3 linked regions of the Ovis aries genome follow. The protein of the gene in region 1 interacts with the protein of each later gene in a pairwise test. Links are inferred from orthologs where the notes say so. Each region holds a gene or a part of one and is shown on either strand. Other genes may lie near its edges.

What was found. The genes of interacting proteins can lie anywhere in the genome.
Region 2: the proteins of AMOTL2 (region 1) and NFIL3 interact in binary tests that used the Homo sapiens proteins (3 or more experiments, as listed by UniProt). The two-hybrid records come from large-scale screens. The link is inferred for Ovis aries from reciprocal best matches to the Homo sapiens genes AMOTL2 and NFIL3.
Region 3: the proteins of AMOTL2 (region 1) and BRMS1L interact in binary tests that used the Homo sapiens proteins (3 or more experiments, as listed by UniProt). The two-hybrid records come from large-scale screens. The link is inferred for Ovis aries from reciprocal best matches to the Homo sapiens genes AMOTL2 and BRMS1L.

What each region holds. Positions count from the first base shown.
Region 1 is NC_056054.1:255,606,706-255,614,426, reverse strand, and holds part of AMOTL2 (angiomotin-like protein 2), read right to left. Parts: intron 6,464-7,721; 5' UTR 6,403-6,463; coding exon 5,666-6,402; intron 3,029-5,665; coding exon 2,743-3,028; intron 1,665-2,742; coding exon 1,520-1,664; intron 1,148-1,519; coding exon 1,055-1,147; intron 1-1,054. UniProt on the Homo sapiens protein: Regulates the translocation of phosphorylated SRC to peripheral cell-matrix adhesion sites. Required for proper architecture of actin filaments.
Region 2 is NC_056055.1:26,457,261-26,464,727, forward strand, and holds NFIL3 (nuclear factor interleukin-3-regulated protein), read right to left. Parts: upstream 3,765-7,467; coding exon 2,376-3,764; downstream 1-2,375.
Region 3 is NC_056071.1:43,745,519-43,753,965, reverse strand, and holds the start of BRMS1L (breast cancer metastasis-suppressor 1-like protein), read right to left. Parts: upstream 4,676-8,447; 5' UTR 4,549-4,675; coding exon 4,407-4,548; intron 897-4,406; exon of another isoform or gene 894-896; coding exon 803-893; intron 1-802. UniProt on the Homo sapiens protein: Involved in the histone deacetylase (HDAC1)-dependent transcriptional repression activity. When overexpressed in lung cancer cell line that lacks p53/TP53 expression, inhibits cell growth.

The sequences.
Region 1 (7,721 bases):
AGCTGCCTCTCTGCTTCCAGACACCCCCAACCATCTAGCTTAAGCTCAGTAAGCTTTTGGAGGAGTTCCTCCTTTATAGAAGGCATCCTTGTTCAGACTCCAGCTGCCCCAGTGCACGCCTTTGCAAACACTCAAACATCACTATAGCAGGCAGTAAGAGCATAAAGGAGGAGCTTATCAATAACTGCCTCTCTGATGGCTACAGCTTCCTCCTATTGAGTTGGTGGCTTCCTTTGTCCCCCCTTCCTTCAAACCGCTTCCACCTCCACTGGAGCTATCCTGCTGCTGCTTCACCTGCCACCCCACAAAACCTCTCTCTCAGGGTGCTGGGGACTGCCCCCCGCCCTCCCCATCGCTGGCCTCCAGGGCCAGGCCATGCTTGTTCCTTGGAATCCATGGTGGGAAGACCCTGCTCCTTCTTCAAGCTCCCTACCTCTCTTGACCTTGTGCTGGCCCCTTCCTGACCTCTTCCCTCTCTGCTGCACACCTGCCAGGGGCTCAGCATGGCTGCGCTAGGGAACAAATGAGTGACTGCATGTGCCAGTCAACAATGAACTCATCTGCTCTTCAAGAAGCCTTTGACTATCCTTTTTAGGGGATCCCTCCTGACTTCCTTCTTTAGGCTGCGGTGTTCGTGAGCTCCATTTTTGGCTGGTGCCAACACTTGTTATGGCCCAGCCTCACCATGCTCCCCAGCTTTCCACACGTCCACGCCCTGGGAGACTCAGACTCTTCCTTCTTTCTCATCCCACCTGTTTCCAGAGTGCTCGGCTCTCCTCAGCTGCTTCTAGAGGACACCGAACTGACGCTCAGCACACCTCCCCAGCTGTCTCTCTACCCCTGATCTTCCCAGTACACAGGGAACCAGATCCTGCTCCCCTTGGGAAGCCGCCCCTCCCGAGTCCAGTCCAGTGATGGGTGCATAGTGGGCATTCAGTAAACCCACACTCCAAGCCCTGCTTTGGCAGAGGAGGCCAACCCTCCCTCAAGAGGAGCTCTCCTGGTTCCACCAGCCACACCTCTGCTTGGGCTCCTGCGTGGGTCCCCTACTTACTCTGAGCCAGCAGCTTGGCCACCATGTCCTGACTGCCTGCCTGGGCCTCCTGCGTCTTGCTTGCCAGGCGGCGGTTTGCAGATTCTAATCTTTCTGTTTCAAATGAAGAAAAGACGTTTTAAGGAAAAAGGTTTGAGCGCAGGTGAAGCTGCCTGCCAAGGTGCACCCCTCCCCAGGGAACTGTCTGTCAGGCTACATTCTCCAAGCTGGGGGTGGGCTCATAGGGAAGCCCTGGGTCACCCTGGGCCACACGGGGGAGAGCTCCAGGAGGGGCCCCAAGGTCTAGAACACAGAGACAAGCATCTCTCTATCGAGGTGGCCCCCAAGGAGTCTCAGCCGAGTCCCCTTTGAACTGATTTGTACTGTTTTCGCAGAGGCAAGAGATTCTGAATGATGTCCTAGAACAGTGGAATCAAGCTGTCCATAGGTGGTCCCTGTCCCTCCACCTGCGTGAGCGGTCCTCACCTCTAAGATCCCGGTTGAAGTCCTGCAGCCGCCTCATCTCACTGTCCATTTTGTTCCGCATGGTCTTCTCCAGGGCCTCTCGCTTGGAAGAGGCCCTTGTTAGGCTCTCGTGGGCCTCGGAGAGCCGCTGGATTTCGCTCTCCAGCTGCAAGAGGCAGAGAGCAGAGCTGAAGGAAGGGGAGAGCTCCCAGGGTGGCAATGGGATCAATGTCCCCTCCTTAGGCCAGGGTTGATTGCTGACTCTCCATCAGAAAGGGTGAGAGAGAAGAGACAAAGCCACAGCGGAAACCCACCTAGCCTGAGAGGGACAGGCTGCAGCCTGTGGCCTCCAGAGAGGGATCAGACTGCTGGAACAGGCAAGCCAGGGTCCCTTCAACTGTCCCAAGGTGCTGAGTGAACACAAGGCCACGTTCTCTGAAAGGAGCTGCATCCAGGGTGACTGAGGGCAGCTCCCTGGTGCCTAGTGTCCAGAAAGAAGCATTTTCCTTTTCTTTGGCTTCTAGTGAGAAATTTGAGCACAATGGACCAGGATCAGGCACTGAGGCTCCAACTGTGGTCTGTGGGGGTGGACCTATCTTGGAGACCACGCACAGTCACAGAAAGCCTAAGGCTACCTGCTAAGGCTGAGTGCACGGCTGGTGCCCCTTCACTCAGAGCTCAGCACCGGAGCCAGCCTGAGCTGCCTGGAGTATGTGCCTCTCCAGCCATCCCCCAACAGGGCCAGCCTGGCCCCGGATGCCCCACCCACTTGGCAGCTGGCAGGTTCTGCACGTGCTCCTAGCTGGCCCATGATTCCAATAAGTCGCTCGTTTTTTGCCAAGAGGAGGGGCTTTCTCTGTGACCAGGGCTGGCCTGGAACAGACTTGCTGTTGTGTGGGGGATACAAAGGGCTCTCTGTGGGAGGTGTCCACGGGAGGGGGCGTGTGCAGGGAAAGGGTGAGACCCTGAGGGAGTCGGTGAATGGGCTCTTTCTAACCACCACTGGGCAGCAACTGCTCGTGCTCTGGGCCTGCTCTGCCGGCTGCTCCCCAGCTGTCTGGAGTCAGCCAGGGAAGGGTGCAGGAGGGATGGGGGGGGGGGGTCCCCCAGGGGCAGCTGAGAAGCCCAGCCAGACCAGCTTTTAGACTCCTCTGCTTCCCTTCTGACAGCCCCCTCCCTGGTCAGCCCTGTTGGGGTTCCCTTATTGCCCCCTGCTGCTTCTCTGAGGCCTCAGCAGGGCTCACCTTCTCGATGCGGCCAGCCTTCTCCACCGTGCTCTCCAGCTCCCTCTGCAATCTCTCATTGTCTCTCTGCAGCCTGGCGTTCTCCCTTAGCACAGTCTCCATCTGGGCCAGGTGGGCACCGCCTGAGGTGGCCAAAGAGGCCTGGGTGCTTGCCGGGCCCTCCACCCCAGGAGGGCTGAGGGCGGCCAGGTGTGGGGGCGGGTGGCGCTCCTGAGGCTGCTGCAAGTATTGGTACTGCTGCTGCTGCTGCGAGAGGAACACAGGGGGCACCTGGGCCTGCAGGATCCTGGGGAACAGAAGGGACGGTCCTCAGAGACCACGGAGCCACAAAGAATTGCCCTAGTCCTCCCAGGCAGACCGCTTTCCTGCAGCGTTAGGCAGTAACCTCTAGGCAAGGCCTTTCCACATGGTGTCCCCAAGACCTTCAAGGGCCAGGGAAGCAGGGCTGCAGGGCATTACCGTCAGCACACGTATTTCATGCCCAGCCTCCTGTGGTCCAGGCCTTGGGGATCAGCCTGAATGGTCCCAGCCATAGGCAGCTCTTTTTGAATCTGGAGGTCACGCTCATCATGACTGAAACTCACAACCTTCCAGGCCCTTGGGCCCCAGCAGCTACCCTGTGTCTGTTCTCATTGCTGGTGTCAGGCCCTCCATGCACACCTGCCCACGCAGCACACTCGCCTCTTCTCCCTCCTATTTTGAGTCCCGTCACCCCTTGAAGAAACATTTTTAGAAGACTGTGGCTAAGGTTAGAGTGGTGAGACAGATGTCAGCCTGAGTCTGGGCTCCAGTCTGACAGATCAGGCATTCAAATTCTGGCTCCAGTGTTTGAGGCCATGGTGCACGGGCCCATGCTCAGCCCGGAGGGTGAGAGTCTCTAGCCTCAGGCAGGTTGTCAGGCCACATCTGCCTGGCAGAGTGCTGGGCCTGCAGTGGGCATCTCCACAGTGACAGCCTACCCTCTGTCTCTTCTCGTGGAGACCACAGCCTACTCTCTGCTCAGAGAGTAAATGTGACCCAAACAGTGGATTATCCAGGGTGAAGGGACCACCTGTTAACTATTACAATAGCCTGAGGTTAGGGACAGTGTTCTCCTGGCCTCTGATACTGGGGTCCCGTGTCAAGGTCTTCACCCTCAAGGTCCCACCGTCAAGCATATGGGGTCACACAGCTTTTCTGGGGCCCTGTGGCTCTGATGTAAGAGAATTAGACTGCCTCAGTTTCACCAGGAGCTTTCCCAAGTCCCAGAAGCTGCAGACGAATCCATCGCCTCAGAACCCATGCCTGCCTGTGCCCTCATCCTTCCCCTTCCAGACTCGAGCTCCCCTGCTCTTCTTAGACCCAAGGCTAAGTCCCACTGCCAGTTCCCAGCAAACAGTCTTCACCAGATTGGCTGAAGGAGAAGCTGGCAGATGTATTTCGTTTCCTGTCCAAGGTAGAGCTTCCAGTGAGAGCTGAGAGGGTACCCCACTGGAATATGCAAACTCCCCCTGCGCTGCTGAATGTGGCTCCCTCCAACCGGCTCCCCTGCTCCCAGCCAGGCAGACACAAATGGCATTCTTTGGGGATGACTGGGCTCTCCGAGAGAATAGAGCCTCCTTTCCTTCACACTTGCTCCCCACCCCCCACTCCCCCACTTTTTTTGTTCTCCAGCAAACAGTCGACTTCCTTTCCACGACATTATCTTTTCCTGACAGGGCTCAGTGAGCATGGTCCAAAGAAGAAACTACGACTCAGCTTCTGAAACTCTTCCAGGACCAAGCCCTGAGAAGGGAGGTAAGGCAGGGGGGCCTTGAGGCTGGCAAAACCCCACAGGCTCAGTCCTCTGGCGCCTCCATTCCAGAGCCATCACGTCACTCATTTCTCGAGAGCAGAGAAAGGCATCTTTCCCGGGCAAGGTTGCACCGTGGCAAAGCAGGTGACTAAATGAGGACTCAGCAGGCACGAAGAAAACCAGACTTGAACCTTGGGGCACCAGAGGAAGGGGGCCTGCAAGCCTTCAGGCCCCTCCACTGGGGTTTCCTGGACCCCTGTGTGTGGGGTGGGGGGTGGGGGGGAATTAAGGGCGTGTGAAAAGGGCGTGTGCCAGCTTCTCAGGAGAAGGTCCTGGGCCAAACGAGAGCCTCATTTCTAGGAACCTTATTTCTGAAAACTCTCTGGGCTTCCTGCCCCTCCTGGGCATCCCTGCTTCCATTCATGCCCCTAGAATCCATTCTCTACAAGAAACAGAGGAACCTTTTTGAAAAGGGATGCCAAATCACATCCTCTAAAGGCTTCCCTTTGCTCTCAGAATTAAAAGCTGAGTCCCCCCACCACCCCTCCCCCGCAGCTACTCTGGAGCCTCCACATAAAGGGGCTTCTGGAACAAGAACCTTCTCCCAGGCTCCTGCCCCATGGACCACACAGAAGAACATGAACGGAAATGAATGGCAGTTCCAGGGCAGCTCCCACCCCTGTGTAGGGGAGGAGAGATCTCTACGGAGGCCATCTGGTCCTTTCTTTCTTGCCCCCACTGAGGAATGCCTCCCAAAAATCATGGACAGCAAGGAAGAAAAGACTTCTTCTGTTTTTAGAAGCTTCCAGAGGAGGTCTCACCTTCTTCCCACTTAACTTGGGAAAGATTCCCAACTGTAGTCCTTGCAAGTTCTTTCTGAAATCTAACCTTTAGCTCCCTGCTCTAATTGACAGCCCCTGAGAACCCTAGTTACTTGAAGGCTACAGCCAATTAAAGCAAGGGATGCTGCTAAGTTCTCATGTGACCCTAGCTAAATCCCTCTTTCCTTCCAGCATTAGCTCCCATCTTGGGACAGAGAGGGTATCATCAGCCTTCCTCTGGAGCTCACCAGCCTCCTGGAGGCTCTTCACCCTGGGAAAACTACACTGGAAGGAAGCCAAGAGCCTGAAGACCGAAGTGGGCAGTTACCTGACTTCCGCATGCTGGAAGTGTGGACTGCCACGGGCACGGTACCGCGGGTCAGTGACGGCAGAGGTGGTCTCGTGAGCTAGCATGACGTGTGGGTACTGAGGTGGAGGTCCTCGTGGCTCCGGGCCCTCGGCAGTGGGGGCGCCCCTGGCTGGGGGGCCCTGCTGGTTGCGGGCCAGCTGGGGGAAGCTGTGAGAGGCACTCATGTGGCTGGGGGTGCGGGCCCCGTTCCTCTCCAGGGACAGCTGCAGGAGTCGCTCGCTCAGGGAGCGCACGTGCCCGTGCCTCAGCTCACGCAGGGCCTCATCCTGCCTCCGGCTGCCTCCCGGGGGCCCGCGGGGATCCCGGTCCCCCACGTGTGGCCAGGGCCCCGCCTGCTGGGAGGCATAGTACTGTGAGTGGGCTTTGGCCTCCTCATAGGTGGGCAGCTCCTCGCCCTTGCCAGGCTGCGGGCACAGGCGGTAGAGGCCGTTCTCTGCCAGGTGGGTCTCGGTGCCCTGGTGCTCCTGGCCCTGGGGTTCCTGCCTCGTGGCCTGCTGCAGCACCTGACTGTCCTCTGGTGCCATGATCTCCATGGGGGCCTGGGGGCTTCCTGTGCCCCCAGCCCCGGCCCCACCACGCAGGGCCTGTTGCTGGATGGCCAGCAGTGTGCGGGTCTCAGTCAGGTTGCCATAGCGCAGCTGTTCCTGGATGAGGCGGTGCAGGACCGTACCTGAGGAGTCTTCCAGCGTCCTCATGCTCCCCGGGCTTGCACACACCCACCTGGACAAAGGCCAGTGGCACCTGGCCCCAGGGCACCTGAGGAGGAGAAAAAGAAGAGCACTCAGTGGGAGCACATGGGAAAAGTGGGGACTTTCCACTACTGTCTGATGAAGGGGCACACATGCCCGTCAGACTGCCAGTGCTGCCACCTGCTGATTCAGGAAAGTCATCTAACCTTTGAGCCTCAGTTTCTCCATCGGAAATAGGGAAATAATGCTAGCTTCATGGAGTTGAGAATTAAGAGGCAATGGCTATTGAGCTCCCAGTGAGCTGTAAATCCTTGGCAAAGGACTGCCATTATAATCATATTCATGGAGGCTTACTGTGCCTAGAGAGAGATACCAGGAACCTAGACACCAGGAACCTTAGGCTCCTATAGTCAGCTTCCCATCAGAGAACCTGATGAGAAAGTCCAGGGCAGGCCTAGTTCAGCTTTAAACACTAAGCTCTTGTGTCTCCTGCATTAGCAGGCAGGTATTTTACCACTGCGCCACCTCTACTTTATCACAGGTGATAAAGCATGAGTCCCGCCCAGTAGATGTGGTAAAGAATCTACCTGCTAATGCAGGAGACACAAGAGACATGGGATGGATTCCTGAGTTAGGCAGATTCCCTGGAGTAGGAAATGGCAACCCACTCCAGTATCCTTGCCTGAAAAATCCCAGGGACAGAGGAGCCTGGTGGGCTACAGTCCACAGGGTTGCAAAGAACTGGACACAACTGAGCATGCACGCATGCACACACCAGCCCGGTAGAAGCCCTAGGCAAACAGCCCCCACAGCACGAAGCATGCCTGAACCATGGCCTTGGCACAGCTAACTCACAACCCTTTACCCTGCAGAGCCCTCTCTGTCATGGGATGACCTTGGCAGTCACTCTGCAAGGTGAACAGGAAGGAGAAAATGCATCTGGATCGGTGAATAAGGGATGAAAGATGAGACAGACTACACCAAGAGTGGTTTTGCAAAAGGAGGCAAAAAGGTGCCGCTCATCAAGGTTTGTGGGCCAGGCACACAGTCTGTGCACTGACAGTGAGCGCACACGTGCTCCAGGAAAAAGAAAGGCTGGCACGGTGTCTCTGATTTTATGATCACCACCCCAGCCACACACACACTTGCTCCTTGGAAGCGCCTGCTGGTCCTCTAGGTACGAGGGGATGGGCACTCAGCATCTCTACATGGGTAAGACTGCTTGAGTTGACTGAAGGAGTGCGGGAGCTGCGGGCACCCGGGGCTGGTGACTCTGCAGGGAGATTGTCTCCTGAGGAAGGTGTTCCCTTCTGAGTCTGTGCTCC
Region 2 (7,467 bases), on another chromosome or scaffold:
GTTAACATTGAGCAGAGTTCCATGTGCTATACAATAGGTCCTTGTTGTCCTCCTTTATGCTTAAGAAGTACCATTTTAAATATCCTAGCCATGTCTTCAGTTCAGTCGCTCAGTCGTGTCCAACTCTTTAGGACCCCATGGACTGCAGCATGCCAGTCTTCCCTGTCCATCACCAAACTCATGTCCATTGAATCTTAGATGCTTGAAATTATAAGACAAAATGACTAGGGAGGGGGGCGTCCAGATGCAATATAGTTACCACAATAGCTAACGTTAGCAATTCACAGGGGAGGTAACACAGCCTCGAGTGCGACACAGCCCAGCACTCCACTGGGCGTGCTGAAGGGAACTAGAGCTTTTTTTCTTCCATGTGGAGTTATTGTTTTCTCCCCAGTTGTGAACTTGGACAGCCTTTTGTTTTCCCACTTAACACAGGAACCTGACTTTACACCCTGTCCTATTTTGATTCATGTTGTTATAGTCATTCCATCCATTCTAGGCTGTGAAATGCTTTTGGATGTCGACTACCATCCAGTATCTTAACCCTCCTCTGCCCTGTAACATTTGCAGATGATATAGGTGTCCCTCTGGGCCTCATTCAGTCACTAAAAAGTGCTGAAAAGACAAGTCCAAGGGCTGAGACTGGCAACACATTCCCTAGGCGTCAGGAGATTTCAGAGCAAACTGGTCACTGTGTCCAAGAGGACAAAGTGGATGGCCTGTGTGTGTGTCCCAGCATTCCCTTTAACTCAAAGGATCTCTCTTTAAAATGTAAAAGTGTAGGAAGTTTAAAATACTAAAAATCAGGCAGTCAAAAGGGCAGGGGCCCTCTAAACTGGGATGTTATAATTGGGAGATATGCGTAACAGAGTGAGGGCTAAGTCATCCTTCACATGTATTATGAAGCCTCAAGACCCCCTCCCTATGCCCCCGGCATACACACATACTTCTAGGATGAAAAAGAAGGCAGCGTGGGAACAGTTCTGGAGAGGCTTTGGTGAGGAGAACAGCTCTGGAGGAAGCTGTTAACCAACATCCACTCACCCCTTCCAGCCTACCCAGAAGCCAGTCCCACCTTGCAACAGAAGACACACTTGTCTGTATTTAAGGACACTTACTTCTATGGGACGACTGAGGATCCTGGACCAATCATCAGTCATGATCTTGTCATTGGTTTACTTAGAATGATGCTTTCTTCTGGACGTCTATATTATAGTTTCCAAACTGGAGCTATTATTTATAGTCATCATTAACAAACTGTAAAAAGCCAAGTCATTACATATATTCAGGTTGAATATGATGAAATGTGATCATTGATGTGTTCTTTGAAATTTTGGAAACTAAGTAAAAACAGTATTTCACTAGGTTAATTTCCTAGACTGTTATACTCTGGAACTGTTAAGATTTACAATAACATAAAAATGACTTCATCCTTAGTCTTTAATCCACTCTTTTAATAGAACCTCTAAATAACAAAGTGGGTCAATGACTCAACTATTCACTTCCATGTGTCATCCTTAAAAGAGATGACTAAAGACATGCTGATGCTAAACAACTTGGGTTTTTCTACTTAAAAACAAAAAGGATATAGAAAACGAAACCTTAAAGAAAAATATATAACAGGGAGTAATTTAGTAAATTACTAGGCTCAAATGCAAGAAAATGCATTCCCCACCCTCTTTTCTCTACTCTCCTCCTATGGAAGGTTTTCAAACTTACCATACCCTGGACCAAACTAGAAAAAGAAAATTATGTGTTGAACTTATGTTTTAGTTTTCCCTCAGACAGTAAAGAATCCACCTGCAGTGTGGAAGACCTGGGTTCGATCCCTGGGTTGGGACGATCCCCTGAAGGGAACGGCTACCCACTTCAATGTTCTGGCCTGGAGAATTCCACTGACAGAGGAGCTTGTTAGGCTACAGTCCATGGGGTCACAAAGAGTGACTTTCATTTACTACAGGTGGGAGAAAACTCTTCCAAATAAGTAAAATGCAGAGTATCTTAATACAGTATCCACTTTGTTATTTAAATTGCTTTCTTTCCCATAAAACTAAGTGCAATGGAGCAAAAGTTCTGTGTTTGTCACCAATCCTTTATTGAAACTGGTAACTTACACACTTTATAATAGAACAACAAAAATAACGTTCAATATATACAGCCTTTGCGATGGACTATTTGACTATACACAAGGCAGAGTGATAACACAGTCTAATCTTCATAATAATTTGTGCACAAAAAGACACCCAACAGACAACATGTGAATGTTATACAGTGAAATGACATCACAGGTCCAGTGAAAATTCAGCCTAATACAAAACGTACTCATCTATTGCAAATGACATCTCTAAAGGCCCAGAGCTTGTTCAGTAGTAATTTTACCCAGAGTCTGAAGCAGAGATTTGGTGTGTGGCTATAAGTCTTTTAAGTGAGACCACCTCTGCAGACAAGTTTGCTATCCCCTGCTTCAGAAACAAATTCTCTGGGTCAGAGACTTTGTAACCACTGTCTTTCACTTCCACCACTCCAGTTTTGAAACTACTCTGAATTTTGCCATTAAGTTCTTTTTGATGCCAGTGTTCAGATTTGAGAGACCAATCTTGAATGTTAGTCACTTGGACTGAAAAGGGAGTGAGAGAAGAATGTACCAGGTTGGGGGTGGTATGCTTCTCGAGTTCGAAATGTCTCTTCGACGTCATGTCAACAGGAGAGGAAAGTTTTTGTGTGCCCTCAAACTCATGATCGAAGGCTTCCACTTTTATCTGCATGGCTTTGCCTTTAATCCGAAGCTTGTGTGGCAAGGCAGAGGAATTCACTTCTGGAACTTTAACCACTGTGGCGTGGACACGCTGAAGTTCGACGGGAGAGTGGATCGGGCCCTTGGGAACCTGCTGCTCATCTTCTCCATCGGATGACTTTCCTACTGCACCTTCATCAGTTTCCGATGTCCTCGGAGAGTTACTGGAGGACCGGTTGACCTGCAGCAGAGGGGGAGAGTGCGAGTATCCGGGAAAGGAATTCCCCATGTAGTTCTGATACACGGCCCCTCGGTAGGCACCCCGGTCATCTCTGGGTTCCCTGGCATAGCTCTCCAGTTCCATTGGCTCTTGCTTGATGACCTGGAACTTGCTTTCTGGGCTTCTGCAGCCACTCTGCACAGGGCCCTCCTGTGAATGTTCTAGCGAGGATACTTCTGAAACATCAGACAGAGAACTCTGAGGAGAGTGCTTGATGACAGAAATGCAACTGCTGGCCACCATCGAGGGCTCATGCTCATCCACAAAGGCGCTCACAGTGGATTTGGAAGTCTGGTAGTCTTGAAAGTACACAGCTGTAGAATTACTGAGTTTCTGAATCTCCTGGGCGTAGGCTGTTGAGCTAATTAAACCAAACTTTAATTTTAGGGAAAGCAGTTCAGCTTTTAAAGTGGCGTTTTCTTCTCCCAGTGCAATGAGTTTGTTCTCCAAAACCAGGTCATTCAGTCGACGTTTCTCCCGGGACCTCTTGGCAGCTTCGTTATTTTTCCGCCGCTTTTCCCAATACATGGCATCTTTCTTCTCGTCGGGAATGAATTCCCGTTTCCTCCGACATGCTGAGGACTTGTTTTTCCCCACACTTCCTTCACTGAGAAGGAGTTCTTCCCCTGTCGTCAAGTCTTCGGAGACTTCGGTCAAGGCAGAATTAAGCACCATCATCTTGTCCACACTGGTACCAGCATCAAGAGATGCCTGCTCCTTCTTGATGCTCTGCATTTTTCTCAGCTGCATCAGCTGCACCTTAACGTATATATGCAGTGCAGGAGAAGAAGTTATTTCCTCAGTATTCTCAAGTGCTTTAAAAACTGCAGTTTAAAATCCATCAATATTCTTCCTTTTGTTCTACCATCCAGAATAAATCTCTCCCGCTCCTCTTGCTGAATGAAGTAGGGGTCTTCTAGATGACCTGCAATACACGAAGAGAAATAGTTATCTATTTGGTAAATATTTATTACCAGCTGTGTACAAGAAACTACATGAAGCATTGAGGGGCAATAGTTCTGTCCTTCAAAGAGTTTACAAGTTTGAAAAGAAAGTAAGTACCCAAATACCTATACTGTAAAGGACAAGTCCCCACTGAGAACTGTCAGCAGGGGAATATGTGGTCCAGGGGAGTGAGAAAAAAGAACAGATCTGCCCTGGGGAGAAATAGAAGGCGGCTGTGTTTCAGGAGAAAAAACAGTGGGGTGGGGCATGTGGGGATAGGACATTACAGGAAGGAAATGACAGATCGCCTCTGGTTAGTACATTTTTAAATAGTACTTGCATCTTGTGGGGCTTCTGAATACCTTTAGATAGCATTTATATGACTGCCAAGCAAACCAGTTCACCTCATAAAAGGAACTTTTCCAAGAAAACCTTTTAATGTCAGTAGACAGATTCTGTAATTATATGGAAAACAGAAATGGAGCTAGATTTTTATTTCCACAGAAACAAAAATAAAAGTCACACAAACAACTGAGTTGTAGTTGTTTAATTCTTATGTGGTTTATGTCACGGTCATTCTGCCAAGTGACTCAGCACACCTGAAAAGGACTCTTCTCAATAAAGCTGTCTCTTTGACACATTTGTGCTAGGAGAAAATGCTTTACTCCCCCCTGGTTCCCTCAAATTCATTTATCAAACATTCACTTAAAGTTGTAGCATCTACAATGCCTTTTTTGATCCCGATAATTCTGTCATAATAGATTTCACTGATATAGTAGTTTCAGACTAAAACAAATGGTTGCTATTCAAAGGGATTTTTTTTTTAAGTACAGTGCCTTCTTGAAACTTAAAATTATTTTAAACTGAGAGCATTTAATTATGGAAAGAATTTCTTTCCATTTTACCAATTAGTTTCAAACAAGATATAAGAACTCGAAAACAGGACTATCAACTAGCTTCCTTTTCCACTGATGACAAATTTATAATCTGAATTTGGCCTGACAGGAGATAATAAATCCATATTAGGCTCCAATAACAATCTTTTCATGGTGGTTTCGGATCTGTGTTTCTGGACAGGGTTTCTCTGCCTCGTTTTCCAGTAGGTTATACTTTCATGAAGGAGATATGGTAAAAAACTGTTTATTCAGCACTATCTGTATATAGCACTCTCTCTGCCCCATTAGAAAGATTTAATGTTTTCATGTCCCTATTTCTTTCTTGTGCATAGTTTTATATTGACTAATGAAGTTTAATTTTATCAGTTGGAAAAGCCTGCCAGCTTCTTGTGTCTTTTCAAGAAGGAATAGAAGGAATGATGTAATCACTTCAGGATCATCAAGGATAAGGTTTAATGCCACATTTTCGTCCATCAAACTGAGCCAATGCAAACAGTGAGTTGCAATTCAGCAAAACTTAATGGTTATGAATACTGAGCTTCTGTTTGTCTTTGATAATATCTTTTAGTGGGAAATGAAGGCAACAAGTCTGCCACAGCAGGCAGTGATGGTGTGAGAAAGGGAGCTTCCTAGTTATCACTTTAGTAAACAACACTACTTCCTATATTTGCACTTAACATTTCTTGGTCTGACATGAAAACTCCTTTTCCGTCTACATACTGGATGGATTATTTTCTTCTGTCAATAATTTGTATTTCTTAAATCTGTTAAGTCCTCCCCACTAAAATCAAATGAATGCTGAAGCAAGAGTAAAAATTCCAACTCCAGGAAGGTAACTATATTGAAGTTTTCCAAGATGCATTTCAAATCTCCACTGTACCCCCAGGTACTACTATTTATTTCCTTGTACACTATGATTCTAAGTATTGTTTTCACTTGACAATCTTTCTCTTCCATGCATTTTTAAATTTATCCTTTCCTTGGAAAAAAATTAAATTCCTTCTACATTTCATCTAACCTATGAATTGTTACAGTTACGCTTTTGAAATGCCCCACCATTTTGTCTGTATTACTCTTTCTAAACTTTTTGTTCTTTCATCATTTCATATCCGTTTCATCATTTCAAACCTATGTTGAGTGAGTTGAGACTCTGATTTCAATCTCTTGTTCCAAAGAATCACGCTGAGTCTAGTGTGAGTGAGGGCAGGCAGGCAGCCCTTGCCACACCACATAGAGAAAATAATCCTACTTCTGTTTAACAAAAATATCTCACTTATTCTAAAATCTCTTAACCCACTTCTATGTGTCTAAGTACTGTATGTCCACTTTTTCATCTCTATAACTTTGTTTGGTATGTTCAAAACCTGCAGAAAAATCTCATTTCTTTTCAGTTAATCTTCTTCCAATTTCAATTTCACTAGGTATACTAGAATCTGGATTCTTCCCTCATCTGCACATAGTAACTGCCTCTATGATTCCACCAGCAAATCACCACATACTACATAAGGGTATTTTCTATAATATTTATCAAATAACTTTGCTGTGTTGAAAAGAATTTATTAGCAGTTCAAGATACTATAGAGAGAGGTGCTGATTTTGTACAATGTTTATCTTCCTACATGTTTGTTTTGTATGCCCAACTAGAATACCGATTAGTTCAGGGAGCAAATTAATATATTTGTATCCTAGCAACAAACTGAACCTCTTAGGTGCTCGTCATTTGACTGACACTTATTTGCCTTCTGTAAGAGAGCTTTGTAACAAAAACTTGCTGATACATTCTTTTAAATTTGATATTATTACATAAATTATAAAAAAGTTTGTTTTACTTATTAAGAGAGAACTTCTCTTATTCATTACTTGTCTTATGCAACAGATATGGAGCACCTACTGTATATCTGGCACTGAGCCAGACTTGGGGCAGATAAAGATGGAAAGAAGAATCAAACTCCCAAGAATCAAGGGACCCCTTAGTCTTTGGTGAGAGGCAGGCTCATGAATACAGATGAGCACTGTACTCACGCGCGGGTGTGGCAGGAACGTTGCCAACATGGGGAGTCAGTGTACGTACCACGTTGTTTCTAGCCACGTGGATTTTTTCTTGGTATGGTGACAATAAAAACAATCATTACAGGTGCCATTTACTCAATACTGACTATGCAACAGGCACCCTGAGCCTGGCCTGTCATTATTTCACTGCTCTCATAATAATAACCACTTTCAGATGAGAAAACTAAGGCTGGGAGAAGTTAAGCAACTTGCCCAGTGTCACACAGCTAGTTAGGTGGAAGAGCTAAGATTCTCAGTTCTGTTCTTCTCATTTCTGTGTAATATATACCCATTTACTAAGTGATTTGGGGGCAGCAAAGCACTATTAGATGTTGCCAGAACTTCTTTCAGACAATAAAAGTACGATCTGGAACTTTTCTCCATCTTCCTCAGAGTTGTTTTATATCCTGTGATTATTTAGTGAATTGAGAAAGCATTCTAAATTTTCATCTCTCTCTAAAATTTTAATCTCCTGGCAGTCCTATATGCTAAAATAAATGAGAAGAAAAGAAAAGTCACAGCTGTTGGCATTGTCATCTGCGATTTTTTTTCCCCACAAACCC
Region 3 (8,447 bases), on another chromosome or scaffold:
CATAAGAGTTCTGGCATTATAAAGAGGGGGAAAAAACAGTATCTATAAACACATACTACATGCCAGACACATGGCTGAGAATTTTATATACTGCTCATTCAATCTTTACAGTAGATAGTAAAGAATCTATTATTATATTTTTAAAATCTGTCAAGAAAGCCTGGATTCAGGGCCTGTGATTCCACTACGATTCCTCCAAAGTAATGTGCCTTAGTGGAAGGAACATGATAGCACCTAAGAGGCAAAGCCTAGCTTAATTTATCACCTTCTGATAAACTATGAACAAATCACTTAACCTCTGTGAGCATCAATCTTCTCAAGCGCAAATGAGAGACAAAACTATCTTCCAACCTTACAGAGAAGCAAACTAAACAATGCATGTGAAAACATGCAATGTATACATTATCCAATGTTAAGATATAAATAAAAATCACCATGCCATCTCTGGGAAATAACTCTTATTCTCAAACTTTTTAAAAAATCTTATCTTTATCCAGTTATTTAACAAAAGAATGAATCAAGCGTATTAGAACCAAGGGTACAGCAATCCAAGGAAAACACTTTCATAACCAATACCCACATAAAAATCTCATTAAATCCCCCCCAAAACCAGCCTCAAAACCCTTGATTAGTTAATGAGGCCTTCAACAGGAAAACAAGAGTTGAAGCCTTTTTCAGGTCAGTCAGTCCCATAAAAAACAAAAAGGAAAATAGTTTAGAATGAATATAATTTCTCTCATGCTAGTATACATGTGACAAGGTTGAGATTCAGTAACAGTGACCTTCAGAAATTACTACTTACTGATCCTTGAGATCGGTAAACTGTTTTTCAAGATTGGACATTTCATCTAAACATTCCATTCTTCTTCTTTCACAGTCTTCATCATCCATTTCTGTTAATAAAATGCAAATATCAAAGCTAAAACTAATGTTATGTTCCAAATACATCTGAAGGTTAATTCAAATGGTTAAAGAAAAAAAAAACAGAAAAACTACATTAGGACTTAAACATTTATCAAAAATAATTTCCACTGTAGATTTAATGTAAAATACAGATAAGAGTTAAAACAGTCGCTAGACATTCTTAATTTTATCCGCTTTTTAAAATAATTTTATGTATTTATTTTTGGCTGTGCTGGGTCTTTGTTGCTGTGCGGGCCTTTCTCTAACTGTAATGAGTGGAGGCTACTCTCTGGTTGCGCACACGGGCTTTTCACTGTGGCAGCTTCTCTTGATTCAGAGCACAGGCTCCATGGCGCCCGGACTTCAACAGATGCAGCTCTCAGGCTACGTAGTTACAGTTCCTGGGCTCTAGAGCATAGTCTCAACAGTTGTGGTGCATAGGCTCAGTTGCTTCCTGGCATGTGGGATCTTCCCAGATCAGGGATTAAACGTGTCTCCTGCATCGGCAGGCAGATTCTTTATCACTGAGTCACCAGGGAAGCCTCTTTATTCATTCTTAAATCATTTTATTAAAGGGCTGATGGGGCAGGGGTCCGGTGGTTAAGATGGTGCTCCCACTTGTAAGGGGCACAGGTTCGATCCCTGGTCAAGGAACTAAGTTCCCACATGCTGTAGCACGGCCAAAAAGAGAAAGGTTGACCTTAAACTATGACTATAAAGTAATTAATCCACTTTCAGCTTGTTTTCCACCAACTCACCAGAACTTAAGCACCAAAATGATTATGTCCTTTAAAGGTTAATATTGCTCAAGAATACTTATGGAATTCCACTTATGGAATTCCACTTATGGAATGCTCACACAGATAATTTGCAAGTCAAATAAAAAAAGAAAATTAATCTCATTATGTTTACCACAGAGTATCTTGGTTTCCTACTTTTAGGCTACCACTGTTCCCTCTCCCCAAATTTCTGTCAGTCAGTGAGAAAGCGGAAGGAGGAAGACAAGCAAACTTTTCAAGGAAAACAACTGATAGCTACCAGCTCTCTCCTATATTTCACATTGTCTGTTTTTATCAATACATCACATATAGTTGACAACATCAGAATAACTTAAGCACAAAATGATATTTGTATTGATCATCATCAAATAAAGGTCAAAATATGAGAAAAAATTAAATTATGTCCAGTTACTTTCTACAGCAAGAAAGTATGATTTTTTTTTTAACTTTTCTGAAACAGATTAAAATTATCTCTGGCTCTTAAGAGCTTATTCCTTGACTCTTTAAAATGTGGTCCCTCAAGATGACTCACTCCCTAATATCTCTGGATGGAATTTTTCTGTAGCCTTAAGACTGGCCCAGTACCAAGGCTGGAGAGGAATAAAACTGTGGGAGTTTAACATGCAAGATAAATGGTAGAAAAGAGATACAAAAGCAACATGCAACTGGAAAATCTATTTAATTTCTTTGTGCTTAAAAAATCTGACTTGTGCTTCAAGTTATTATCATATTCTTCATAAATTAATGTGTCCATTATTTGGGGGGATAGAACAAAAGACAGTTAAAAACAAAAGCCCACAAGGATCAACATAAAAATTAGAAAGGCAGAATTTTAGTAAATGTCATTTTGAAAGATCCTGACTCCCATAAAAACAAAAACAAAGAACATGTGAAAATAAAATGTTTTACAGATCCAGAAAACATACTCACATATAGTAGAGATGTTCTCTGTAATCCTCACTTTTGAAATCTCACCTATTTTCATGACTAAGCAGATGAGTTCCAAATTATACTTCCCATCCCAGGCAAGTTCCAATGCCACATTACCACCTGTCAGTTGGGCACTCTGACTCAAATACACCATCAGGACCTCAAAAACAACATGTCTGTAATACTTTATCTTCTATCTTCATCTCAAATCTTTTTTTTTCTATTTTTGTTCAAACGACCACCATTCTCTTTGTATTTGGGTTTTTCTTCTTACATCGACTCCTAAACTGGTAGTCATCAATCCCACTTTCTGCTTTTTCTGAAGTCTTTAACACCTATATCTTTTCCTTTTCTAGCTCAAATCCTTCTCCCAACCAAACTGGTTTTCTCACTCTTCTAAATAAGGCTTAAGCTCTCGCCTTGCACTTTTTCTTATATTCCTTCTTCTATAGAAACACCTGAACTTTACCACTCCAATCCAAATTCCGCCCATTCCTCAAGATAATTAGGTAATCCCACTAGCTTTGGCTGACCATCCTGTACTGAAAAGATGTCCTCTACCTCTCAAATTCTACAGCATTGTTTATAAATAAGCGTTCATTTGGCAATTGATTCAAGTGGTGACCTATGACAGCTGTTTAATTGTGGTCAGATCATAACTATTTATACCATCCACTGAGTAGAACCCAATACTGCAAAAGGAAGTCACTCAGAAACACTTATTCGGGGTGGCTGATTTATTGACTTAAATTACATACTTCCACGGAGGTTTTCTTTGAAAGGGAAGCCTAAAAAAAGAGAGTGTCATGGTGATGATAGGCTGTTGTTAACCTGTCATCAATCCTTGCTTCACATAGCCAAAATCAGGCCAAAACAAAGAAATAAGTCTCATCTTCGTCGTATGGATAGAAGGAAAGGAACCCAGGTAATCATAAATTTCATCTCTTTTTAAAATAACCACTCCTAAAAGACTGCAAAAAATGCTTTATGGTGTTAACCTGCTCCCCCCACCCCCCGCCACTCTACCCCATCCCACTCCCTTCAAAACAGAAAACAAAAACAAATAAACAAACAAAAAAATCTGAAACAGCACAAAGTTAGAAAAGACTGAAGGGAAGAAAAGATTTGGAGAACTTCAAAGCTGCCAAAATCAGCCAGTTATTGATAAGCATATGAAGATCTAAAATCAGTCCTGATGTTGGGCTCTTCTTCTCAGTCTTGAAAAGTTCACAGAAATGATGCAGATGACCCAGCTCCCACGTCAGCCCCCCGAAAGAGGACGAATGTCAACTACTGACTGACACGCTGACTTGGAAGCTGACATTAATAAATTCTAAACCAGCCAAGAGCGAGTACCCTCGGCTCCTGACAACCCACACACGCTGAGAAGGGCTGCAAAGGTGCAAAAATAAGAAGTCGGCGGTGTGGGGAGAGGAGGCATTTCTAGCGTCTCCCAGATAAGATGCGGGACATTTTCCGCTCCGGATAGCCCGAGGCACTACCCGGAGGTCCCAAGGGCGGGGCGGATCGAGAACAGAACCAAGCAGCGTCCGTGAGCTGGACGAGTCCAGGCCCGCGCCCTGCCCCGCTCCGCCCCGCCAACCGGGACCCGCCAGGAGCTGGGCAGCGCCCCGCGAACAGTTTGGGTGCCACGGAGGGCCGGGAGCCAGTCTCCGCCCCTTCCCTCTCTCCCCGCCCCGCTCTCCCAGCAGGACGCAGCTGCCGGCGTGTGGAGAGCGGCCTTTCGCTAGCCTGGCGCGAGGACTCGGGGTCCCAGCCCGCTGGGTCTCGTACCTGAGCTATCTCCATCCTCGGAGACCGACGAGCTCTCGGTGTCTTCGTCCTCGGAGCTGCTCCCCTCGTTTTCGGCGTAGTCCACCTCCATCTCATCGTGATGGTTCGTCTCCTTCTTATCCCCTCGGGAATGGACTGGCATTTTCCAGCCGCGCCGTCGCTTCCCACTCCCGGCGCCCAGCCCGGCCACCGCCGCTTCAATGAAGGGCGCGCCGAACGCCCCGACCCACCCCGCCGCCGAGCTCGTTCAGAACCCCCTCGGCTCCTCCCCGCCCCCGCCGGAGCCTCACAACCTAACCCGCAGGCTCAGCGGTGAGAGCTCTGCCATTGGTGGAGGCAGTCCTCCCGAGCCGGGGGATGGAGCTAATCCTGCTCCGGTCCGGTTGGTTGCCGGTAATTACGGCGCGGCCTCGCGGTGTGTGTCGGGAATTGTAGTCCTTACTGTTCAGACCTGCAGGGGCCGCCGGCTTCGAAGCTTCAACTACCCTGATCGTTTCTCCCCTCTGGACTTCAAATCCCACAAGGCACGAAAGCTGCCAGACTCGGTCGCAGTTTATAAACTAAACAGAAACAGATTGTGAGATTTTGGTCTGTATGTTTTCTTTTCCCGCCAAGTGCTTGTCTGAGCTTCCAGGCCATCCAGGATGTTACTGTCAGATGTGAAAAGGTCTTTTGCCTGAGGGCTTTTCCTCCTCTTTAAGGCTACAGGAACTGGAGAAATGTCTTTACCTAAGCACTTTTATTACCACTATTAAACTATTGTTGAATTAGTTTCTGCGGACAACTTGCATTTTCTATGTTGCACAAAAATCTTTAAATTATTATTGAAACTTTTGCAATATGAAAGGAAAGGAAGCTTTATCTTGGCACTTTTCTCTAGTACGTTTTACATTTTTTTTTTTTTTAACCATATGCGGGTTTCCCTGGTGGCTCAGACGGTAAAGAATCTGCCTGCAATGAAGGAGACCAGGTTTGATCCCTGGGTCGGGAAGATCCCCTGGAGAAGGGAATGGCTATCAACTCCAGTATTCTTGCCTGGAGCATTCCACGGACAGGGCAGCCTGGTGGGCTACAGTCCATGGAGTGAGAAAGAGTTGGACACAGCTGAGTGACTAACACAGTTCCAGTTTACCATACGCGCCCTGAAAATGCCTCCAATCTTAACTAAAGTTTTAAATGAAAAATACATATTTGACTTAATGAAATGTTTTATTTTTTCAATGGTAGGGATGATAGACAAGGAAAACTCATTATATATCCTAATCATAACAACATACTAATTGACCACTTTTACTCTGTATCAGATACCCTAGTAAGTTCTTTACATTACTTACATTGAGTTGAATTCCCAATTTATTAGCCCTGAGTTAGGTGCTATTATACCCATTTTACAGATAAGGAAACTACTTGCAGACAAAACTAAAAACTGTATTTTATCAATTATAAAAACAAGGCTTCTTCCTGAAGTGGCAATTTGCTATTGAAAGAGATTTCATACAATATCGTGGGTTTTAAATTATTTCTTTCTCAAATACAAGGTCCAAAGACATTTGACAGAGAATGTAAGAGTATCCAAGCATACATGCATTAAAGTTAGATTTAGAATTCAATGACAGAAAACATCTCAAGGGCCATCCATCTCTTGGCTGAAATCCAAGTTAAGGGGCTTTTATTATCTAGTGTCAGCCTACTTGTCCTTTTCTTATTGTAGTCTCGAAACTGGACTCATCAGTTGAGAAACAGACGAACTGTTGGCCATTTCAATGTTCTTTGTGTATCCTATTTCTCTGCAACCCTCTTGCACTCCTGTTTTTCAAAGCCACTTTCTTGACAACATTCATCACCAGCAACTCCTCCACCATTCAGTACATGCCCCTGTTCCTTCAGATTAGTGCTTGGCAATGTTGTACTTGTTTGTTGTGGGTTGTTTAGCAGATGCATCTTGCCTATTGGATTGTGAATTCCTTGAGAACAGGGATTGTCTTAGCCTGGGATGCAGTTTCAGAGGCAAGCATGTGAATACATCATGTGAGTGGTGTGGACTAAAGCTGGGTAGCTGCTTTTAGCTCCAGCCAGTTGTTGCTACATCTGAATTTGGGACTAGATGTCAGACCTTCTGATTTTCAAGAGAAACTGGAAATTTAGAACTTTACGTGAAATAACCAGATTTGTAAACATTATTTCAAGTGCATTTTTTGCTGTTACTTTGGTTTGGTTTGGTTTATTAAACTCCAGACCAAACAAAAACAGCTGTGAGTAATATCTGTGGCTTCTGTTAATCTCTGTTATATCAGCAGCTAGCAGAGTATGTGCTAAATAGTAACACTAACTTGAATTTCTGGTCACTCTTCATGTTCCAAGCACAGTATGTGCTTTAAGGACATTAATTCATTTAATCATTATAACAACTCTATGAAGTAGATATAATTATGCCTTCCATTTTGTAGATGGAGAAACTGAAGCACAAAGCAGTTAGGATGCTTGACCAAGGTCACACAGCTAATAAGTAGCAGATTTAAGATCTGAACTTCAGTAGTCTGACCTCAGAGCCTGCAGTCAACTGTCAGTACACAATGTCCCTCTAGCAGATGATTTCTGTGTTTCTGCTGTTTAGAGAAAAACAGAAGGAAATTGGAGAGGAGGCATGGATTCTAGCCCTGGTTCTGCTAGTAACCAGGCAAGACAATTTGGCAAATCATAGTGTCAGACTTTATTTTGGGGGGCTCCAAAATCACTGAAGATGGTGACTGCAGCCATGAAATTAAAAGACACTTACTCCTTGGAAGAAAAGTTATGACCAACCTAAATAGCATATTCAAAAGCAGAGACATTACTTTGCTGACTAAGGTCCAAGTTAAGGCTATGGTTTTTCCTGTGGTCATGTATGGATGTGAGAGTTGGACTGTGAAGAAGGCTGAGCGCTGAAGAATTGATGCTTTTGAACTGTGGTGTTGGAGAAGACTCTTGAGAGTCCCTTGGACTGCAGGGAGATCCAGCCAATCCATTCTTAATGATGCTAAAGCTGAAACTCCAGTACTTTGGCCACGTCATGCAAAGAGTTGACTCATTGGAAAAGACTCTGATGCTGGGAGGGATTGGGGGCAGGAGGAGAAGGGGACGACAGAGGATGAGATGGCTGGATGGACTGACTCACTCGATGGACGTGAGTCTGAGTGAACTCCGGGAGTTGGTGATGGACAGGGAGGCCTGGTGTGCTGCAATTCATGGGGTCGCAGAGTCGGACACGACTGAGTGACTGAACTGAACTGAACTTACACTCTCTGGTCAGTTGTAAAGTGAGAAGGTTGCATTATGTTATCTTTATGTTCTTGTCAAGCTCTAAAATTCCTGTCATTGATGTATTTATGTTTAAGGCAGACAAAATAATGGGAGATTAAGCAATTAGAGTTGCACGAAGATGTATTGCTTAAAAGGAGTTTCTTTCTCCTCTCCCCAAACAGATTTTAGAAAAGATACATAGGAAATGTAAGAGGAACCATAAGAGGAAAAATGAATAAGGCTGGAAAAGAATATTGTCATTTTTAGATAATACAAATTAACGTTAAAAAAAACATGAAAGCAGAATGAAGTTTTTTCAGTTGAGGCATTTTAAAAGGTAGGCATGATGCAATCATTAGATACATTTTAAGTCTCATTTTTCATTAATCCTTAATAAGCACTCATTTATTGAGAGCCTTCTAAAACACATGGTCAGTCATCAGCAAAATCTGCTATATTGTTACCCTTTTCTCTGGAAAGGTCCCTTAACTTTCCTGTTCTAATGGGAACATGGCGCTCCCCTAGGAGCCTTGTCATGGTGTAAGTATGCTTGGTGTCCTCGTTCCTTCTAGATGATCATTTCCACCTCCCTTCCCTAAAAGCCCCCAGCTTGTCATCAGGATATACTACACAGTCTCTTTACTTGTGGCTGTTCTGTACATACCTCCCAGGCTCACCCCACCCCCCGTCATTTTTTGGAGATTCTAGCTCTTGGCTCATTCTCTCCCATGGTATGCCCACCATAATCCGTAGTCATTTTAG